Pelodiscus sinensis: one gene and its partners. The main gene of each other region encodes a partner of the protein of the gene in region 3 in a complex. Links are inferred from orthologs where the notes say so. Each region holds a gene or a part of one and is shown on either strand. Other genes may lie near its edges. The genes, in order: ZBP1, caspase-8 and RIPK3.

What was found.
Region 1: RIPK3 (region 3) and ZBP1 share a complex: the UniProt entries of both Homo sapiens proteins name them as parts of the AIM2 PANoptosome complex. The link is inferred for Pelodiscus sinensis from reciprocal best matches to the Homo sapiens genes RIPK3 and ZBP1.
Region 2: RIPK3 (region 3) and caspase-8 share a complex: the UniProt entries of both Homo sapiens proteins name them as parts of the AIM2 PANoptosome complex. The link is inferred for Pelodiscus sinensis from reciprocal best matches to the Homo sapiens genes RIPK3 and CASP8.

What each region holds. Positions count from the first base shown.
Region 1 is NC_134728.1:13,959,042-13,966,500, reverse strand, and holds the start of ZBP1 (Z-DNA-binding protein 1), read right to left. Parts: upstream 3,007-7,459; 5' UTR 2,215-3,006; coding exon 2,152-2,214; intron 2,100-2,151; exon of another isoform or gene 1,944-2,099; coding exon of another isoform or gene 1,937-1,943; intron 1,873-1,936; exon of another isoform or gene 1,755-1,872; coding exon 1,709-1,754; intron 1-1,708.
Region 2 is NC_134717.1:56,935,806-56,943,613, reverse strand, and holds the start of caspase-8, read right to left. Parts: upstream 3,038-7,808; 5' UTR 3,020-3,037; intron 1-3,019. Other genes in the region: caspase-8-like, read right to left, coding at 6,423-6,573. UniProt on the Homo sapiens protein: Thiol protease that plays a key role in programmed cell death by acting as a molecular switch for apoptosis, necroptosis and pyroptosis, and is required to prevent tissue damage during embryonic development and adulthood.
Region 3 is NC_134740.1:1,554,551-1,562,246, forward strand, and holds the start of RIPK3 (receptor-interacting serine/threonine-protein kinase 3), read right to left. Parts: upstream 3,039-7,696; 5' UTR 2,165-3,038; coding exon 1,877-2,164; intron 1,783-1,876; coding exon 1,622-1,782; intron 1,043-1,621; coding exon 993-1,042; intron 1-992. UniProt on the Homo sapiens protein: Serine/threonine-protein kinase that activates necroptosis and apoptosis, two parallel forms of cell death. Necroptosis, a programmed cell death process in response to death-inducing TNF-alpha family members, is triggered by RIPK3 following activation by ZBP1.

The DNA of each region.
Region 1 (7,459 bases), on a different chromosome or scaffold from region 3:
CAGCAGGAAGTCGAAGGAAGAACACTCTTCCTTCAACGTTCCTTACTTCTCATAAAATGAGGGTTACACGAATCAGAGTAAGAAGTCCTGCAGCTTGACATTATTTCAAAATAATGGCTTGCTGTGTAGATGCGCTCTGTGTTATTCCACAATAATGTCAGTTATTCTGAAATAACGCTGCTGTGTAGACAGACTTAGGTGCTGCAGAACTATTGGTTGTTTTAAACGTTTTTTTGGTTACAGACTAACACGGCTACCCCTCTGAGACTGGCAAGAAGAGATGAGGGTAAACACATTCTGTGATTGGAAAGATGGTAACTATTTCCAGCCAAGATGGAAAGAAAGAGTAGAGAAAGGACTGAATTTTTCTTACCTTGCTGAAAATAAGGCCCCGTCTACATGGGTCTTATAACCACATAATGGGGTCCAAGTACACCTTGGACATGGCAAAGCTGGCTTCTAATCCTGAAAGGTGCTGAGCCCAAGTGAGCACCTCCCATCCCATTCTGCTCAGGGGGAGCGCAGCATGCCCGGGATTGGGCCCCCGAGTGGAGCAGTGCTGCATGTTTCCAAGGTTTGACAAAGTATGAATTACTAGAGTCAAGCTCCCTCTCCCACCTCTTCTCTGGCCAGAGCAAGTGCAGCCTGGCCCCACAAGTTGGTCTCTTCCCAGTGCTTTTGCTGTGCCAGCTGTGGGGGCTCTCACCAAACCAATTGGTTTTGGTGGCCATTTAATTGTTTTCTTTAATTATTATTTTGTCCGTCTATAGTTAGGAGCTCAGCCAACACAGCGAGCTTGCTGGACAAGTTTACACCAACAGCACAGCTGCCCCAGGCCTCAGGCAGTGTACTGTGGGTAGCTCTTGGAGCGGGACACCCTCTAGCTAAGGCTATGCATCCCATGGGTGGATTATACCTAACTAACCATGTGGATGCCAGTGTCATGGGTTCACAGTCTTCCAGCTTGGGGTTTGTGTGAATCTGAAAATAGCCAATGGACCCAGATTAGTCCCATTTTAATCCTTCAATCCCTGCCTGTCAGATGTCTTCATAACTGCTTGATGACTTGAACCTTCCACCTGCCAGCTTTGGTGGGAGTTGATAGAGAAACCCCTTTGTCCCCCAATTCTCATTGCAAGGGCTAATCAAAAATGCCCCATGAAAACTTGTTTTCCTGTGGAAAACTGGGGGCTTGGCTAAATGATTTTTTTTTCTGAAAGTCTCTGCTGTCATTGGTAATATTCAGTTTTTCAAAAAATGCCCATTAAACAGAAAGTTTTCTGATTTCATTTTTGGGGTCAGGAGGAGAGGGTGAAATCGGACAGTTTTTGGCTGGAAATATATGATTTAGTTGGTGAAAACCAAATTGGTTTTGACTTTCAACATTTTCTGCTGAAAAATTAATCTTTTTTCATAGACTCCATTTTCTGGCCAGCTTTATTCACGGTGTTCTCTAGTAAGCAGGAGACATTTCCAATCGCTCTCCTAAGGCAGACATATGATGACAAAGACAGAACCTATAATTTAGCTTCTGAAGCCCCCCTTCCTCTACCTTCCTAGGATACACAATGCCACTCGTATCAAATCAGTCTCATCTATGTGCTAAACATCAAAAGTAACAGACAGAGTCAGGAGTATAAATGAGCAGCCAGAAAAGTCAGGCAATTTTTCATTAAAAACTTAGAATATCTTTAAAAGCGAATCTTACCTGCACTATGTGTTGCTTTTGCCATTTGTCCAAATCCTAAAGCAGACTGAAAGTCAATTACAGAATTCGTCACAAAACAACTGACTCCGGCATATGAGCATGTATTAATCAGAACCAAACATCCAGTCAGAACAGAAAGAAAAGAGTAACTTGGGGTTGGGTTTCTAAAAGAAACAAAACAAAAACTGATACCGTGCGGTGAAGCTGGAAATGGAAATTGCAACTTACGTATCATCCCAGAAACCGAAACTGAAGTTTGACAAGACAAAGTCCTCTGTAAAAATGTCTGTCTGCGGATAAAGTGTTACACATGACTCAGACAGTCTGTGGCCATTTTAATATACATCAGTAAGCAAGAGAAGGGAACTTCCTGATAGAAGCAGGGAGGATATTAATAGAAAAAAACAGGAGAGATGAATAGATATTCCATTCCTAGAGTTTACCTTTGTGTGCTCCATTCTCTTACATGAGTGTCCTTGGCTCAGATGCCATCCATTTAGGCACATCTCTCATACTAGCTGATCTGGAAGATCCTTCTTTGAAATCTGTCTGAGCTTCAGGGAACAGAGTGGATCTATATTTTCATACTTCCATAAAGGACAACTTACTGTGTGTGCACTCTGCTACGTTAAAATCCATCGTAAACAGCTTTTCTTTAAGTTTCTTTAAGCAGAGATCACTCTTCTTTGTTTTGCTTCCACCTGAAAGCTCTTGGTCATGTCAAAATTCTCAACAGAGGCCCATCTATTCATGCCATGGTATGCATTCAGGTACAGCAATTGTGTGCACAGTTTTAGCAGCTAGTCATGAAAATAATTGATAAAGGACTGTGGTAAGTAATTGCAAATAATGCATGCAACAATCTAGCCCTGGGAAGAGTTCTGAATAAGGAATTTGCTCTGCTGAATCCAGTGTTGACAAGTCTGAATTTGCATTGGGAAATGTTGTGATATTTTTTGTTTTTTTCTTAAAGTGCCAGCTTCCAAAGTCAAGATATCTCAGTCTTCATTTAAAAGAAAGAAGCAAGTTTCTCACCCTCATGATTACAAAACGAAAAGCTTGGAAAGACTCCAAGACCAGAAGGCAAATAAAAATAACTGCATCTGTATTATTTAAGAATCCAGATACTTATTAAGATAATCTCATGATTTTGGGGGTATAATTCCTGATTTTTTGAATGTTGTGGTCTGGTTATGCTGTGACTCCTAGAGCTGAATCATTCTTGTGATCAGTTGTGGGTGGAGCCAGGAGTGAGTAGCATCGTACAAACAATGTTGTAAATCTGTAAATAGAAAACGAAACTTGCATTTTTCTCTGAAACAAAACCAACCCAAATCATTGGCAGACATGAAAATGACAGCTTTCAAATAATAATAATAATAAAAAACCCAGACCAGGGAAAGAAGCAGCAGCATGTCCTTATTTTTAAATATTTGTTTGTTTTTAAATATTTTAATTTGTTTTCTTTGCTCAATATTATCATAGCTGCATGTTAACATGTAATCTTTGGGTGGGCTAGGGTTTTCTTCATTGCCGTTCTCCAGTGCCTACAAAATCCAGCATCCTAAGGAAAGCAACTATAGAACCAGAGTTCATTCACTGAAGATTTTCAGTGAGGGTGTATCTAGACTACAGGGTTTTTTTGAAAAAAGTGACCTTTTTTCAAAAAAACTTCAGCTGCATCTAGAAATTAACTCAAAAGAACGCAGCCGTTTTTTCAACCGTGGAAAACCTCATTTTACTAGGAACAACACCTTTTTTCTAAAGTGCTCTTTCAAAAAAGGCGCTATTGAATGCAAACAGGGCTTTTTCAAAAGAGAGCATCCAGACTTATTTTGCTTTTTCAAAGTAAGTGGTTGCAGTGTAGATGCTCTCTTTCGAAAAAGGCTTTTTCTAAAGATTCTTTTGAAAAAGGCTTGTAGTCTAGATATACCCTGAGATTTTCATAGTCAAATCCAAAAGAATAAAAGGAATTAATTTAGTTCTTCAATGCCAACTTTATGAAATCTTATGATAAAGAAATTTAAATAAAAATATTTTGAACATAACAGGGCTATCATGTAAGCCATGTACATGAGCTCTACAGTTATACATGAACATGAAGAAAACAAATTGAATCTAAACAGGTCAGTCCCCACAGAAACACAGTGAAAAGGCACTCCCAAAAGCTTAGACTGAATTCACCCGAGTCTCAGGCTATGTCTACACTCGCGGCTTCTTGCGCCAGAAATATGCAAATGAGGCTAAGCGTGGAATATCGTTCACCTCATTTGCATACCTAATGAGCTGCCATTTTTGCAGAAGAGGCTCTTGCACCAGAAGGAGCTGCCTACACAGTAACAGCATTGCGCAAGAGAGGTTTTCTTGCACAAGAAGGGGCCTCAGAGTCTTTGATCACCAGATCTACATGGTAAGCTGAGTCAAAAGCAACAACTTCCCTCCACTTGCCTGTAGAAATGTTCAGCTGGAATTCATGCAGAGTTTTCCTCCTCTGCTGAAACTACTCAGCTAATCAAATAACCAACTGCTTAGTTAAGCATATAGAGTTAAAACAAATACAAAACTAGACTAGCAAAAGAAATGTGGCTTCCCACTCATCATATTTAGATAAGAGTAACATTGGTGAATCATATTAGCTGAGACATTTAACTAAAACAAACATTCAAAGTATATTTCCCTCCCAGTTTCCCCTGTCTGTCATCAGCACTGACAGAACCACCCTGTTGGAGGGTGAACAGTATCACTAACCTGCCGCAAAAGGCATCTGATTTAGGGAAAACACCTGCTTCCTGCCGCTGGGCAAGGTATCTCCCAACCCATTCAGCACCCAAGTCATGGCCTTTTGCAAGCTGTCTGGTGTCCTGTGAGTGTAGCAACAGGGAACCTACTGAGCATATCCAAAACTACCACATCAAATCCCAGAAACTTCTGACTATGGAGAATTAATTGTGTGTTCCTCTATCAACACTGACTCAGACACAAGTCATTCCCACTCCCACCCAGGGGTGGCCCATCCACATAGGCGCCTAGGGCGCCAAATTACATGGAGCGCCAAATGGGGGTGCAATATAATTTGGAGGTGGGGGCGCTGATTGCATGGTTCACCTAGGGTGCCAGTTGCTGGCAGCTAGTCTAGGGCCGCCTTCCCCACCCGCACCAATAGATTTCTTAAAGAGATATCTCTCTAGTACGCATGTTACACACAGGCTACGTCTACATTGTCCCCTATTACGGAATAGGCATGCAAATGTAGCACTTTGGAAGAGGCAAATCCGCGGGGGATTTAAATATCCCCCGCGGCATTTGCATTTTCATGGCTGCCGCTTTTTTCCGGCTTGGAGATAAGCCGGAGAAAAGCGTCCAGACTGGCCCGATCCTCCAGAATAAAGCCCTATTCCGGAGGATCTCTTATTCCTACTTGCAAGGAATAAGAGATCCTCCGGAATAGGGCTTTATTCTGGAGGATCGCGCCAGTCTGGACGCTTTTCTCCGGCTTATCTCCAAGCCGGAAAAAAGTGGCGGCCATGAAAATGCAAATGCCGCGGGGGATATTTAAATCCCCCGCGGATTTGCCTCTTCCAAAGTGCTACATTTGCATGCCTATTCCGTAATAGGGGACAATGTAGACGTAGCCACAGTGAAAATCTGTCTAAGGTGATTGTAAGCCATGAGAACTGATTGTGCTTCACTGTGGAATCACTCCAGCTTTACACTGGCAGAACACCTTTGATTTCAGTGGTGGACTAGAACTGCTATATCCATGGTTTACATGCCATCACTTTGAAATACTACAGGGGGCTTTCCAATGAAACACATTGTCTTGGGGCCTCCTCCAGCAGAGGGCAATACACAAATAGATACAACTAAGGACACATTGGCATTGTTCTCTGCTGTTTCTCCTTAGAGAGGAGTTAGCCCCAAATTTACCTTTCCCCTTCTCCCCTATGAGCTTTGAAGTTCTAGCTTTTATCATTGCAGACCATCTGCAGAGGAGATGTGGGATCATGAAGCAGACTTTAGCTATTGGATGAGACTTCCCAAGCTGCTAAAGAGCTTTGGATGACTAATTCCTATTGGGTTTAATGGGAAACAAGCATGAAAACCTCTTTGAAAAATCCCACTCACTGCTCTTGATGTTAAAATAATTAGCACCATGTTCTATTTTATTCTATATAGGCCCTAATAATGTGTTCATTACTGAAGTATTTGATCACTTTCCGGTAGCACATGATGTGTTGTGCTTAACATCTTTCACATGTTGCATTCTCTCATCTCCCCCGCCCCCACCACAGATTATGTTGCAGAAACTCAGGTCCCTGAAATGCACCATGCAATTGGCCTGGAAGTTTGAGTTAATTCATATAATGTAAAGTGTCCTGCCCCCTTTTTTTCCCCTTGTGGCCCTAATCTGGAGCCACTCCAGGATTCCTCCCACATTTGGGCCTCAGTAACACTAGCTGCCTGCACTACAGCTGTGGTTTCGATGGAGTTATAAGATCCTTTTTCCTGTGCAAATCTCTCTTTATAGCCTTCTAACATTGACAGGTCTGTGCTGGCACTGGAGGGGCAAGAGATGCTGTGCCTGAACTGACTGGCAGCAGGCGAGGGGCCAAGGCTGAAAAGAGAGGGAGAGAGATGCTGGGGAAAAGCAGTGACCAGAGATGGAGGGAGAGAAAAGTGAACTCTTCTGAGCCACACTTTGTTTCAGAGTAAACCAATGAGAGCAGCGTTCCCTGTAAGCTGTGTGCTTGTGTGGCCACTCAGGAGAGACTCAAATGCTGCCTAGCTGATTAGTAGAGTGCTCACAGCTAGATTTGTGTTTCTACTGAGGGTGCACATTCACACATGCTTTGGTGCACATAAAATATTCCACACATGGATGGAAAAAATCCACACAGGGACAGAAAAGGTTAGAAGGAACGTTGAATGAGAGGTATTTTATTTAAACACAACCAATACCGATCAGTGCCATCGCCTCCCACGCTTTGCCTGCCATTCCCACAATACCTGGTGTTTTTTTTAAAGCCTGAACTGCTGAAGTCAAGAGAGTGTTGGCTTTCATTTTAAAAAGACTGGACAATTCTAACTCTCATGATGCAATCTTGGGGCCCTGGAGCAAATGTACCGTAAAGGCTCACAAATAAAAAAGCAGCCCCAAATGGTTAATATAAAAAAACTTTATTTTTCCATCAGTGTCATGATTTTTGTGGGGCCCGACTCTCGGTGTTGGACTTCTTGGGACAGCGGATACTCGGTGAGTTGGCTAAAGTGTTGCTCCCTACAGCCCAGCTGGAACTGGAGAGACCAAGAATCAGACGCTCTCCCCTCCTATCTCCCTGCTGTGGCAGTTCAGCGCACGCTGCAGAGAGGCACCTGGAGAAAGTCACATCTCTCCCAGGCTGCCACATGCAACCCAGCTGGGGCTGGGAATCCAGGGATGTTCCAAACTTAGTCCCCCACCCCTCCGCCCCTCTTTCCAGCACCTACCTCCACCCATTTCCTATTTCCTCCCACCTACCCCCTGCTTCTTCTCCCACATCACTTTCCACAGTCTCTCTCCAGGGTCCAGGACCAGGATGCACTAATCAGGTCTGAGGCGTACACCTTAGAGCAGGGCTACTCAACTTCGGAAGCCCTGGGGGCACAATGATACTCTTAGCACATGACGAGGGCTGCAACTTAAGTGTGGTTGCATATACATGCAAATCTATGCAAATAGCGTCTTTCACACTGATAGGAAAGATGAAGGCA
Region 2 (7,808 bases), on a different chromosome or scaffold from region 3:
AATACTTATCTACACTGCTGTCTATCAGACAGACAGTAGTGTAAATAGGTATAACTTATTCTACACTGCAGTGCAAGCCCAGGTTGAAACTCAGGCCAGTGCTACACTAAACCCGAAAGATTGGCTCAAGGTGTGTAACTAACGTAGCTGGAGTCAGCATATCTTAAACCAAGCTTGTTGCCATCTTCACAGTGGATGTTAATGGGAGCAAACACTCCCATCCGCTTCCCTTATTCCTTGTGACTGGGAGGAGTACCAATGCTGACCCGAGATGCGCTCAGCATTCAATTTAGCAGGTCTTAACTAGACCCACTAAATCAAACACCAGAAGATCTATCACCGGAGCATAAGTATAGATGTGGCCTCAGACTCACGTGCTACTCTCCCTTCTGTCTACTCACAAACGTCTTGGACTTTGGCTCAAACCCAAGGTCTTAGACAGGAGTCAGCAACCTATGGCTCCTGAACCAAATATGGCTCTTTGGCAGCTGGAACGCAGCCCCCCTCCTCATTCCCTCCACTACAAGGAGCCCATACTAGCACTTCAGCCTTGCAGCCCCCTCACCTCCACAAGATTGGTGCGCTAGCGCTAGCTTCCTGTGGGGGCAGAGAGGGGAGAAAGCCCCGAACCTCGCTGCATGATCCAACTCGCAGGGGAGAAGTGGAGGCAGATGTGGCTCTGCGCGCTGCTGCATCCCCTCCCTTGGCTGCAGGAACAGCAGCACATGGACATGCTGCCTGTAGGATTTCTCCGCTGTTCCCACTGGCCAATGAGAGCAGCAAGAGGTGCCTGAGAGCAACATGGGGCGCAAAAGCAAGTGAATGCCCCCTTCCTCTCATGCCCAGACTTGGCACCCCAACTCCCTGCCCACTGAGACCCTGCACTCCCAGCCCACTCCTGCACCCCTCCCCCTGGCCAGACACCCAAACTGCTCCTGCATCCTTCCCCTGGTCAGACACCCCACCGTCAGCCTGTTCCTGCACTCTACCTCCCACCCTCATCCCCTCCTGCACCCCATCTCCCACCCAGATCCTGCACCCCCATCCCTACCCCACTCACTGGCCGCTCTGTCCCAAACACTGAACCCTTCCTTTTTGGCTCCACACCAGAGCCTAAGGAAGTCCACAAAATCCACTGCCCCTCAAAGCCCAAGAGAGTTAATCTGGCCTGAGGCCTTGAACTTCATTTCTTCCTCCTCTCCATGGGGATGGAGTGCCAGGGAAGTGGGGTGTCTCAGTGGGGGGCCACATCAGTGAGGGCTGTGGGATTTTGGAGGGGTTTTTTGCTGCTCATTTGTGTGGTCCCTAATTTTTCTGTGGGTCAGTGGCCCCCACCCCGAAAAAGGTTCCCCGCTCCTGCCATAAATAAAGAATGTTGAAACCTTTTGTATTGGACATAACATTTTTACTTCATTTAAAATAAAGTTTGCTAAACTAATATGAGAAAGCTGAAGTGCTTAATCTGTTCAATAATTTCAACTAATATTTTCTTTCTTACTGGCTAAATTAAACTGTTCTCCCTTGCTGCACCATTAGCAAAATGGCTCGAGTGTAATTATATAATTAGCGTCAAGTTTCCATTAGGACCTGGTGGTCCACGGAAAGGTTTATAATGACCTGGGTGGGCCATGGGCCAAAGGGCCTGTTCTTTTGCCATTCCCAAAATACATGGAACTTTTTAAATTAAAACGAAAAATTAATACACAATTTCAAAGACACATAAAATGGGCAGGCTGGGGGCACTCTGCTCATTGAAAGGGCCAGCTGAGGATGTGCTGGAAAGAACACGTGCACGCTCCCAGCTGGCATAGCGAGAGGGGCTGGCGGCAGCAGATACCTCCACCTGGCTGCCACAGCTCGGCTCCAGCCCCCATCTTTCTGCCGCGGTCTGTCCCCAGCTGCAGTGCTCCTGAGGTGGACCCCGCAGCTCAGTCATGGTGGACCTGCGACTGCTGCAACAGCCCAGCCATGGTGGCCCGGTTTAGGTTCCAGCTACGGCAGCCTGGCCAACTAGGCCCCAATCGGAAGCCAATCCCCCATCTGTCCACAGGGTCCTGTCCCTAGCACCGATCCTGGGGCAAGCCCCACTGTATGGTCCCCATCTGGCTGCAGGAAGGGCTGGTGGCAGCTCCCCTCCTGCTGCGGCACAGGTAGGAGGGGAGGCCATAATCTGGCTGTGGCGATCCTGGCCTGGCCCCTCATCCCAGCCACTGCAGCAGCCCAGCCTCGGCTAGGTAAAGTAATCCATTCCCAGAACCTCCCCGCATACTCTGCTTCCCATCCCAGCACCCTGCCCTGCTGCCTGCACCTCCCACACATCCCATCCCCCTGTCCTGAGCCCTTCATACAGCCCAATCCTGACTGCTGCACCCCCACGTCCACAAACCCCCAGCAGCAGCAGAAGTCCATTAAATAAAGCCTGTGAGTACAATGTTTCATTGGTGCTATTATTAATCATCACATCAATCATCAATCATTTTCAGTTGTATATTTTCAGTCATGCAATTGGGCACTCTTATGCCGGCTCTTTGTTCTGAGTTTTGATGTAATTTGGCTCTTTGACGTGAAAAGATTGCCAACCCTTGCTCTAGAACTTTCCAGAACAAATAAAATTCTAGAATCAGGGCCTGACCCAGTCCTGTATTAAGGTTCGTATAGTGGCCATCTTGGCATTCCACCCTCCAATTCAGGACAGATCTGTGTTTTGGCACCAGCTGTTGGCTCAGTTCTTGAAAGGCTCTTCCCTTCTGTCAAGAATCACCTCCCAAATGGGACCTCTGTTGGGTCCTCTCTAGGCTGACAGGACCACCCTTTGAGCCATTGGGCTCGTGTTCCCTGGCTCATTTATCGTGGAAGGTCGCTTTCCTCATGGCGGTGATATCGGCCAGATGAGTGTCAAAAGCCTTGACATCAGAACCATATTCAGTCCTCTATCTGGCTCTGACCCCAGATGGTCTTTTTACTGAAAGTGCTATGGCCCTTCCATGTTAACCAGGATATTTTCCTCCCGGCGTTTTACCTTAAGTCACATGCCAATAATGAGGAGAGGAGGCTGCATGCTTTGGATGTCAAGTGTGCCTTGACTTTTTATCTGGCACACACCAGGCCCTTCATGGAAATCAACCCAGCTCTTCATGGCAACTGCTGACAGGATGAAGGGCCTTCCAGTGTCTACACAGAGGATCTCCAATCAAAGATCAAAGCGTGTTACTGCATCAAAGCGTATTATGACCCGGCACATGTCCTGCCACTGGTGGTCACAGGCATTATCGGCTGCATTCCTTGCTCACGTCCCAGTCCAGGACATCTGTAGAGCTGCAATGTGATCTTCCATACACACATTCACGACTCACTACAGCCACACAGACTAGGGAGGACACTGGCTTTGTCAGTGCTGTGCTACAAGCGACATATCCCTGAACTCCTATCTGCTTCCATGAATACTGCTTGGAAGTCACCCAGTTTGGAATGGCTGTGAGCAAGCACTGGAAGACAAAACAGTTATCTGTTCCATAACTGGTGGTCCTCGAGATGTCTATTTCTCAACCCACCCTCCTTCCTCACTTGTTGGAGTTTCCAGTGGGCAGGAACTGAGGGTGATGAAAGTGTGAAGCATCCCTTATATTGTGCTTTGAGAGTTGCTAGAGTTGCTCCCCTGTGGATACTGGACCATGGTGCTTGTAGCGTGCACACACACCTGACTTGGAATGGACATGAGCAGCATCTCAAAGACCACCAATTACAGAACAGGTCTTTTAGCATCCGCCTGTTTCTTTGTCACTGTCCGGGTGGATACAAATTGATTTTTTTAAAGTCTACTGTTAAACAAATTATGTAGAGCAATTGCATCTTCTATAGGTGGGGAGACAATATTTTCTTCATTTCAGATTATAGTTATCTAGTTCAGTTCATTTACTATCTCATTCAAAGTTAAAAACCCAATTGGGAGTTGGAAAAATGAAGGACACTGTTTTTCTCTGCCACTCCATGTGGAAAAAGTAGGTGTAAGAGAGTAAGATCTACTAGTTCTAAATTCTTGAAGGACAACGTAACCAGGAACAAATCAGTTAAATTCACAAATCACTGATAATACTGCCTTTGTTTAATAAACTGGTTAGTTTTCAATGTTTTGATACACTTTCTGATAAACTTTCTTCTGATGTATACAGCACTTTTAATATCATTTTATTTAATAAAAACAATTAAAATGCTATTTTTCTGCATTTTAATTTAATTTGAATTTCCATCCTATTTGAGTGTGACAAAGATCACACAAAAAATTTAATCTACTATATCAGAAAAGCCTTCACCATTTTCTATTAAAAATGTCAAAACAAAGAAGCTGAATAAGTATATGCTAATGGGCTAATCTATATAGTTGCTTTGCTTAAAGAAATATGTAGAGATATAGTGTAGTTAGCAAAAATCACCAGCAAAATATAGCCTTTCCACTAAATTAATTTAGTTGCAAGTCAGCATGCTTCTGAGGTTACAAATTAATGAGAAATCAACATTTCCTTAAGTCACATTCTAAAAAGTACAAATGCAAAACATGATTAAAATAGTGGTTTCCTGCTTGCTGATTTAATTTCTGTATAAAGGGACTTTTCCCCCTGAGAACCATGCTATAGACCTGATGTTCTAGGCAATTTATAGGCTCAACTTTCTCCGTCCATGCAGAACCTCCCCAGGATCAGATCTGTAAATCCAGAATACAAATCAAGGAAGTTAGGGTTTTTGGGGGGTGGGAAAGTTAGGAGGGGCATGGGCTGAGATAATAAAAATGGATTTTGGTAAACCAAGACTGGCTGTTTTTCTGGAAATTGTGCTCTAGTTCAAAAAGGAGTAAATTCAGGAAAGTCTTATGTCTGCAGTATAGGAGGTCAGACAAGATGATTACCAGGGATCCTAGTAATCCATTTAGAAAAAACACAGAATTTGCATTTTTACAAAAAATCTCTAGTTTTTACATTGTGTAAAAAAATATAAATATTAACTATTAACTAAATCTTACTGAAGGTGTCAGTGTCACTTATTCACTGTGTGCAGCCTCCCACTCTTGATTTTTAAATTTACATAGCTAAACATACTACAATAAACTACTTCCAATGTACTGAAGTTACTCGACAGTGTATAGGGTTCTGTGTTTTAATGTCTCTCACATTTCACTTCAACCTCCAGACATGAGTAATCAAAGTTATGAAAAGATACCAAAAACTTTAAAACCACCCCTAGAGTCAATGAATTTGGCAAGGAGAAATTTCACATTGATGATACAGGTAGAACCTCTCTAGTCTCGCATCTTCTGGACCTCACTGGTGCTGAACCAGAGAATTTGCTGAACCATTCAAGATCAATATTTTCTATCAGTATTACCAACACTTCCACTGCTTACAGGCCTCTTAGAAGATATTTAGGTGTAAATTAGAGCTAAACAGCACAACAGAACACTGGACTGGTGGCTGTAAACAAACTTTATGAGACCTCAGGAAACTTGGCCACACACACCCATGATAAGTGGACATCCAGCCAAAAGAAAGCATGCTGAACCACAGATGTTACTGGACTAGAGTGTGCTACACTAGACTAGTTCAACCTGTTCTGCACTGTATGCAGTAAGGTCATAGATTACATTCGAAGGCAGACACTTGTAGAACACATGGAAAGCGCCAAACTAGACTAAAAAAACAAAAAACAAAAAACACAAGAGAGGCTGAAACAGTAGGACCATCAACAACTGTAAAGAAACAATGTACTATGACTATCACGTGAGTGTTTTTATGCGTTTAAAACCCACAATTTCCTGAAAATATAGAATACAAACATACAACTGTTAGGTATACATAAAACATACAAATAGCAATTCTATTAATTTTATTATAGTGTTTGTGAAATGGATAGGCTTGAACTTGCTAAAAAATGGTAAATATATCAATAAAACATTGCATTCAACTGATACCTATATATATTGTGGCTAGGGAAACTAAAATTCAGCGTTTCATTTCAACTGTGGACAAACTGAAGAATTTTGGGGTTTTTCCTTTCACAGAAAGCTAAGATCCCTAATAATCACAATGGCCCCTTTCAGACATACTATCTATGAATAACATTGACAAATGGAAACTGCCGATTTCCTCATTGGTTTGGAGTCATAATTTTCCTGTGTGTTTCTTCCTGTGAAATCAGGGTCAAGGCAGTCAATCCTAGAAAAGGCTGAGCAGGCTCAACTCCTACTGAAGTAGATAGATGCTGGACACTGTCAGGCCATTTCATGATTTGGACCACTGTCAGGGCGAATGATCCAAGAGTTGAAGGCCCTCGGTACCTTGTAGGACTGGGACCTAACTGAATAGATCCAGTCCATTGGTCTTTTGGAACTGCAAGTTGAATCCATCTCAGAAAGCGGCTCCTAGTTTAGTGTCTCACTGACGCTTCTTGTCTGGCGTTGGCACCTGGAAGATCAGTTGCTTCCGCAGGGTTGATTTTATTTCTGGCATCTGCTTTTTGTCGAGAAACACTTTTTCTCCCACTTTCTTATTGACTTCTGTCAGAATGGTCAACAGATCTACACGCCTTGAACAAATTACAAGGGGAAACAAGAGTGATACGGAAACACACAGGACTTTCAGAGTAGCCGTGTGAGGCTGGTCAGGAAAGTTGTCCAGGTTTGGGTGACATGATCCCCTGGAGCAAGGACAATGGCTTTCCTTTACCCTAGCTAGGCGGTGGGTAAGGAAGGCAAGGGAACGCATTGCCTTCCCAAAACAACTGGGGTGGTCCCACCCATGCTCCGCCCTAGGGCCCCTCCTACCTGTGAGCAGTGGGTTGCTCTTGGACTGGTGCTGGGGCTGGCGATTGGAGAGGGAGAGGTGCAGGGCTGGCCAGCCCCCTGGTGCTTCAGGGCCAGAAAGGCTGGTGTCGACTGGTTCTACGACCGTCTGGGAAGGCTGGAGCTGCCCAGCTGCTCAGCCAACTGGTGCTCCTGCCAGCCAGGAAGGCTGGGGCCACACCACCCGTGGAAGGGGGGAGGCACAGAGGCCTGGGGGCATCCCAAGGCTGGGAACCACTAGCCTGGGGTGGGGACCAGCTGCTACAGCAAGAGCGAGCTTGGTTCCATGGTGGTGGGGGGCATTGTGGAAGGGACGGGGACTCGAGCTGAAGCGCAGGCCTGGGGACTTGCCTTCCCCAGCTGGGGTTTCACCCACCACCTATGGTACGATGTAACCATTGCATTCAACATATATCAGAAGAAAAAAGAATTTCAGAAAGGCCACTCGGTGTAAGCTTTTCTATCAAGCTGCATTTCTTGATACTGGTTAGAAGGAGCATTTAGATAATATGGAGACGCCAATGAACATCATCCAACCCTCCTGCTGCTCTCCATGATGCTACACAAGACTGATCACAGACACCATTTGCCTTCATTTCCAAAGCACAACACTGGCGCGGCTTCTTCTATAGACTGCAGCCTAGGGAAGGGTGGTTCTTGCCATTGCTCTTCACTAAAAAGAACTGCCTGCTTCCTCTGGCTTCCACTAATTCCCACTGGAAGAACAAAACCACTGGTCATTTAACATTGTGAAGTACTATATAGGAGACGTCTGGGAAGGCAGCACAGTATGGAGCAGCGACAGGCAACCAAGGCTGGTGAGTGGGCCACGAGTGGCCCTCCATCTCAGTGGGCATGTGCATTAACCATGACCAGCATGGTTTTTGCTTTAAATGGGGGTCACTTCTCATTTCGCCCCACCCTGTCCTCACACTCCAGCCCTTCCATCAAAACACTGCCCGGCTCGTCTCTGTCCCCT
Region 3 (7,696 bases):
GAAAAACCCTCTTGCGCAACGCCGTTACACCTGAAAAGTCTGAAAAAAATGGTGGCTCATTAGGTATGCAAATGAGGCTCGGCGATATTCCACGCTTCGCCTCATTTGCATATTACTCGCGTAAGAAGCCGTGCGCGTGTAGACATCGCCTTACTGTAGTGTGCGGATACGCCCCCTTGTGGAGAATTAGAGACATCACAGTCATGCACGGGTCTGCCCCCTTGTGGTGAGTAAGAGACATCACAGTCATGCACAGATACGCCCCCTTGTGGTCAGCCAGGGTATTATTTTCTGCCGAGGTCCGGCTGGCGCAGGGGAGAGAAATTGGAATTTGTCCGGGGTTTAAGGAAATTACCCGCCATCCCATTTGATTTCCAGTGCCTACACACTACTGAGATCCGGGCCATGTTCCCAATGGCCTCGCTCCACTGAGATGTCCCTACTCATTATTTTCAGAGGTTCTGGGATTTGAACTCCCAGCGGTGGGAAGGGACTTCCAAGCTGGGATATTACGGCCTCTTCCCAACCCAGTTTTTTGACAGCACCTGGAAGAGGCCGCCCCAGCCACAAGCGAAAACAATGCAATCCTGCTTCCTGGCTGGGGAAACTGAGGCAAGAGAGGGCTGAAGTATTTTGCCCCAGTCTGCAGGGATTTGTTGTGGATAAAACCAGCCCCCCAGGTCTTCCTAGGCCCCCTTGCTCCATGTAACTCCCCATCCCATGGTCTGTGTCTCTAGCCAGCTGCCTGCCCTCTCCCACCCGCCTCTCTGTCTCCCCACAATCAGGGCTCGTAAGGACGCTGGGTTTGTTCCTGTCGCAGCTCACAGGGCTCTAAGCAGAGGGACTGAGAACTGGGCCTGTGAGAGCCATGGGCCCCATACTGCTGGGGTCACAGGGATTCCCTGTCCACCAGAGGCCCAGTGTGTTTGGATTCTGGTGACCCCTCCAACCCAGGCCAAGCCTGGTCCCCCCCTGGGCGGGGTGACACTCACGTGGGTAGGGCTGCTCGCCAGTTAGCACAGACCAGGTGAGGATGGCGTAACTGCAGGGGCAAGAGAGGAGGCTGGTTGGGAGCTGGGGACGGGAGAGGGGCCCCATGCCAACATGCCACTGTGGGTCCCAGGGGTCAGGACTAGCACCCCCTAGTGGGCCCCCTACTTCACTCCCTGTAGTACAGCACCCCCTAGTGCCTCTGTGGGTTCCAGGGGTCAGGACTAGCACCCCCTAGTGGGCCCCCTGCCCCACTCCCTGTACTACAGCATCCCCTAGTGCCACTGTGGGTCACAGGGATTGTGACTAGCACCCCCTAGTGGGCCCTCTGCCCCGCAGTACAGTGCTCCCTAGTGCCTCTGTGGGGCCCAGGGGTTGTGACTAGCACCCCCTAGTGGGCTCCCTGCCCTGCTCCCTGCAGTACAGCGCCCCCTAGTGCCTCTGTGGGGCCCAGGGGTTGTGACTAGCACCCCCTAGTGGGCTCCCTGCCCTGCTCCCTGCAGTACAGCGCCCCCTAGTGCCTCTGTGGGTCCCAGGGGTTGTGACTAGCACCCCCTAGTGGGCTCCCTGCCCTGCTCCCTGCACTACAGTGCCCCCTAGTGCCTGGCGGGTGGAGTCGGGGTTCTTTGACCTGTAGACGTCGGTGGCGGGTGTGGGCCGGTAGTTGAGACTGACGAAGGATTCGGGGGGCATGTACTCCAGGGTGCCCCCGTAGTCGTCGTCCTCCTCCGACTGCTCAGCCCTCTGCTTGGTGGTCCCCCGCTTGAACTTGGACAACCCAAAGTCCGCCAGCTGGGAGGGGGGCAGAGCAATGGGGGGTGTCAGGCAACGGGCCCCCTCTAGGGGGCGCCGACCCAGCCGGCCGGCAGGGGAGAGGCTCACTCACCCGGACGTCCAGCTCCGGGTTGAGCAAGACGTTGCTGGGCTTGAGGTCCAGGTGCAGCAGGGGTGGGCGGAGCCCGTGGAGGTAGTTCATGCCCAGCGCCACCTGGTGGAGCAGGCGGAAGCGCAGGGCCCAGGGCACTGGCCGGACCCTCTCCAGCAGGCTGGCCAGACTCCCGCACTCCATGTACTCCATGACAATGCCCAGCCGGGGGCCACCGGCCCAGCCCTCCTCCTCCTCCTCGTAGAGGCCGAAGAGCCGCAGGATGTAGATGAAACGCGCCTTGTCCATGGCCCGGGCCTCGGCCAGCAGCTCCTCCCAGCTGCAGGTGTCACTGTGGGCAGGGGAGAGGAACCAGGGATGGGGGAAACTGAGGCGGGAGGGGATGAGAAGACAGAAACAGCCCTGGGGATGGGAGTGGACGAGAAGCTGGACAGACGCCAACCAGGCGCCCTTGCAGCCAAGACGGCGAATGGCCTATTGGGGGGCATTAGGAGGAGCATGGCCAGCAGATCCAGAGGTGTCATTATTCCCCTTCATTCGGCGCTGGGGAGGCCACATCTGGAGTGTTGTGTCCAGTTCTGGGCCCCCCACTATAGAAAGGACGTGGGCGCATTGGAGAGGGGCCAGCGGAGGCGACCAGAATGATTTTGGGGGCTGGAGCACCTGGCCTACGAGGAGGGGCTGAGGGATTGGGGCTTGTTCAGTCTGCAGAAGGGCAGAGCGAGGGGGGATTTGGGAGCAGCCTGCAACTCCCTGCAGGGGGGCTCCCAAGAGGCTGGCGAGAGGCTGTTCTCAGTGGGGCAGGTGGCAGAACAAGGAGCAATGGGCTCCACTCGCAGTGGGGGAGGTCTAGGTTGGAGATTAGGACAAACGATTTCCCGAGGCGGGTGGGGAAGCGCTGGGCTGGGTTCCCGAGGGAGGGGGGTTTGACCAAGGCCTGGCTGGGATGACTGAGTGGGGGTGGGTCCTGCTTTGGGCAGGGGGCTGGACTCGGTGCCTCCTGAGGTCTCTGCCAGCCCCGGGGTCCTAGGAAGGAAGCAGGAGAAGCAGGGACAAAGGAGGGGCAGAGACCACAGAGGGGAGAAGAAACTGAGGGCTGTGGAGGGAGAGAGAAAGTAGAAGGGAGAAGAAAGTTCGGAGCTGGTGGGAAGGAGGGAGGGGAAGGGGGAGGGAGCAGAGAGGGAAGGGGAGGAGGAAGGGGAAGGGGAGAAAGAGGAGGGGAGCAGAGAGGGAAGGAGGGAAAGGGGAAGGGAGGGGAGCAGAGAAGGAACAGGGGAAGGAGGGAAGGCGATGAGGGCAGAAGGAAAAGGGGGAGGGACAAGGCGGCCGAGGGGGACATGCCCGGTGGGGGGGGGCAGCCCCGGGGGAAGGGAAGGCCGGGGGGGAGGCAGACACGGGGGGAGGGAAGGCCGGGGGGGGGCAGACACAGGGGGAGGGAAGGCGGGGGGGGGCAGCCCCGGGGGGGGGGGAGGGAAGGCGGGGGGGGTAGCCCCGGGGGGGAGGGAAGGCGGGGGGGGGTAGCCCCGGGGGGGCCGGCGAGGGGGAGCGGCGAGAGGGGGGCAGCCTCGGGGGGGGAGGGAAGGCGGGGGGGGCAGCCTCGGGGGGGGAGGAAGGCGGGGGGGGGCAGCCGCGGGGGGGGAGGGAAGGCGGGGGGGGGCAGCCGCGGGGGGGGAGGGAAGGCGGGGGGGGGGCAGCCGCGGGGGGGGAGGGAAGGCCGGGGGGGGCAGCCCCGGGGGGGGGAGGGAAGGCGGGGGGGTTGATGCCCCGGGGGGGCGGCGGGGGGAGCGGCGAGGGGGGCAGCCCCGGGGGGGGAGGGAAGGCGGGGGGGGGGCAGCCCCGGGGGGGCCGGCGGGGGGGAGCCCCAGGCCCGCACTTACCGGCTCAGTTTTCTTGACGGCGATGGGGATGCGCCAGTCGCGGTGCCGGGCCGGTAGATGACGCCGAAGCCGCCCGAGGCGATGAACTCCCAGTCCTCCAGGCTCTCCCGCGGGACCCGCTCCCGGAACGCCTCGCCCGCCGCCATCCCTGCCCGGGACAGGAGGGGCCCTCAGCCCGGTCCCCCCGGCCGCGCCCCTCACCGCGGCCCCGCGCCCGGCCCCGGCCCGCACCGAAACTTGTGACTCCAGCCCGCCCGCCGCGTCAGCTCCGCGCCGGCCTCGCTCTTCCTGCCCCGCGGGCCCCGACTCACTTCCCCCTGCGCCGCGGGCCCGCCCGCCGGGACTTCCCGGGCGCGCAGCGAGGCGAGGCGAGGGGCCGGGGCAGGCTCGGAGAGCGGCGGCGGGGGAGCCGGGCCGGGGGGAAGGGGGCGAGGGGGAGAGAAGAAAGGAGGAAAAGGTGCGTGTGTGAGCAGAAAGAAAGTCAGACAGACCCACAGACAGACCGACCGACCCTCAGATAGACCGACCGACCCACCCTCAGACAGACCGACCGACCGACCCACAGACAGACCGACCGACCCTCAGACACAGACAGACCGACCACCCTCAGACACAGACAGACCGACCCACCCTCAGACAGACAGACCAACCCACAGACAGACCGACAGACCGACCCTCAGACAGACCGACCAACCCTCAGACAGACCGACCCTCAGACAGACCGACAGACCCACAGACCGACCCTCAGACAGACCGACCCTCTGACAGACAGACCGACAGACCCTCAGACAGACCAACCCTCTGACAGACAGACGACCGACCTCAGACAGGACCAACCCTCTGACAGACAGACCGACTGACCCTCAGACAGACCGACAGACCCTCAGACAGACCAACCCTCTGACAGACAGACCGACCGACCCTCAGACAGACAGACCGACCCTCAGACAGACCGACCCTCTGACAGACAGACCGACTGACCCTCAGAACAGACAGACCGACCCTCAGACAGACCGACCCTCTGACAGACAGACCGACTGACCCTCAGACAGACAGACCGACCCTCAGACAGACCGACCTCTGACAGACAGACCGACTGACCCTCAGACAGACCGACAGACCTCAGACAGACCGACCCTCTGACAGACAGACCGACTGACCCTCAGACAGACCGACAGACCCTCAGACAGACCGACCCTCTGACAGACAGACCGACTGACCCTCAGACAGACCGACAAGACCCTCAGACAGACCGACCCTCTGACAGACAGACCCGACTGACCCTCAGACAGACCAACCCTCTGACAGACAGACCGACCCTCAGACAGACAGACAGACCCTCTGACAGACAGACCGACCGACCCTCAGACAGACAGACAGACCCTCAGACAGACAGACCGACCAACCCTCAGACACAGACAGACAGACAAACCCTCTGACAGACAGACAGACCGACCCTCAGACAGACAGACAGACCCTCAGACAGACCGACCCACCCTCAGACACAGACAGACAGACCGACCCTCAGACAGACAGACAGCTGCTCCGGGCTAGGAGGCCGCGCGGTACACAGCTCTCTACGGGCACCAGAGAGGCATTTCCTCAACCCCGTACCCTCAGCCATCCTCCATCCCTTCCTTGCACCCCCCTGCACCGAGCCAGGTCACTCACGGGAAGCTTTATGCACAGCGCCGTGCCTCAGTTTACCCTGCTGGCCCCACTTTTGGACAACAGAAAGGTGCTTCCCCTCTCCCTGCAGGCACGGGGGCGCCCGTTTCGGGTTCTGAGGCCGGGCCGGAAGGGAGGAGTTTTAAGCGGAGTCTCACGAAACCCGCAGAAGGGTGCCAAGGTGGCGGGGCGGGGTGGAAGTGGCAGGCGATGTTCCTTGTGCCAACGGGCACACGCCTTTTCCGGGACAAAGGTTGCTCCTCCGGCGCAGAGCAAAGCAGCAGGCCGTGTGTGGCAGCGTGCCGGGGTCCCCCGATCCTGCCCCCCCGTAGCCGCGAGCAAAGACTCCGCCAGCCCGTCGAAGAAAGGGGTTTATTGCTTGTCCGGGACACAGCCCAGCACAGACGTGATGTGGGTACCGGAGTCAGGGCCGGGCTGCCTCCGACCCCTTGGGTTAGGGGGCCCGTCGCCCCCACTACCCTCAGCACCCGGCTTAGTCTGTTCCTTTCCTCGCTGCCTCGCTCCCAGGGCCGTGTCCGCCTCCCTGCCTTTCTCTGTGTCACGTTATTGGATTGTGAGGGGAGCAGCCGGATCACTGCTGCACCCATGGGGGGGTGTTCACCCCAAAAGTGGTGCAAAGGGGGCCATGGGAGGAGTCAAACAAAAGCTACTTTCTTCTGATTCTGTCTCTGCTCTTCACAGATCTGTGTAATGTCTGTGTGTGGAGGTAGGGATCTGTAATGTGTGGATACTGAATATCTCTCTGCATGTGGTTGAGCATTGGGCAGAGCCCAGCCTATAGACATGCTAATGAGCGAGGCCCTGTGGGACAATGGCACTCAATGGGCCAAGGACACACCTCAGGAATGGTGACACCTAAGAGCTGCCAGCAGGGGACACAGGGATAGGCCACTGGCCAGGTGACCTGCTGCAGCCAAGAAGAGACCAGGAAGGAGGGATAAATAGGCCATGTGGTCGACACCATCTTGGTCTTCAGCTCAGCACTTCATCCCAGAGGCAGCACTGCAGGGATCGAAGAGCCCAGAAGACCTGTGAACCCATCCTGATCGTAGGATGTGCAATAAGGACTTTTAACCAGCAGCTGCAACATCTCTGCTAGAGCCTGCATCGAGGACTGGGAGATTCGGTGCATGTAACGTACTATCCTTTAACAGCCTCACTCTCAGGCTTTTCTTTATTGTAGTAATAAACCTTTAGATATAGATTCTAAAGGATTGGCCCAGCGTGATTTGTGGGTAAGATCCAGAGGGTAAATTGACCAGGGATCTGTGGCTGGTTTCTTGGAACCGGACAGAACTTGTTCGGGGTAGGTGGGATTGGGTGCTAGGACCCCCCACCTGTGTATAGGCCCGGGGCCATCTGGGGCACGGATATTGCTGGGGTGTCGGAGGGGTTTTGCTCGTGAGGCTTCAGGCAGGCAGCTGAAGTGCTCTGTGGGACTGGTGTGTGGCCTGTGTGGAGAGGTCACCAGTCTGGGGGCTGTAGGGAGCCCCGGATTTGAGCAATTTGCCCTGAGCGGATGCCCTCAGCTGTGCTCAGACCGCCTGGTCCGTCACACTCTGTCGCCCCAGGATGAGCCTTGTTATCTGCTCAGGATAGGCCTCGGTGTCTGGGCAATGCACACGTGGGGGAGTCCTGGGAATCGCACAGCCCAGCGCAGGGGGACCCCAGGTTATGGAGCAGACAGCCCCCCACACACCATGCGGAACGGAGCCACTGACCCATCCCGAAAGGCGCGGGCAGGCCGGCGACGTCTGTCGTCAGAGGAATCGCCGCAGCCCGTCGTAACGCCACCAGCGGGCACGACCTCCCACCCGCGAGGTGACATCCAGGACCTCACGGGGGCTCGGGAAGGAGCCAAGAACCGACCGATTGGGCCGGGCGGGACGAACCAAAGCGAAACCCCAGACCCCACCCCGACGGCACCTCCCCATCGTCGACGAAAACCCGCCGATGCCAACACAACAGCCAAACCCTGATCACAAACTGGTTTGCTGTAAGAGTGGGGACGTCCGGGAGGATCAGCCAGACCGATCCAGCCCCCCCCCCCGCCCCCCACGGCTCCTCCGCCCGGGACCGGTGACTCCAACAGGGACGGTGTCTGTCCGTCTGTCCGTGCCAACACCAGCGTATCGCCCTTCCCCCCGGACTGATCCGCTTACAAGGGGCATAGGGGCAGCAGCGGGTGGGGTGGAGAAGGGGGGGTCTGTTCCTCCCTCTTCTTCCCCCCCCCACTGTCCTGTCCCCCCGCCGC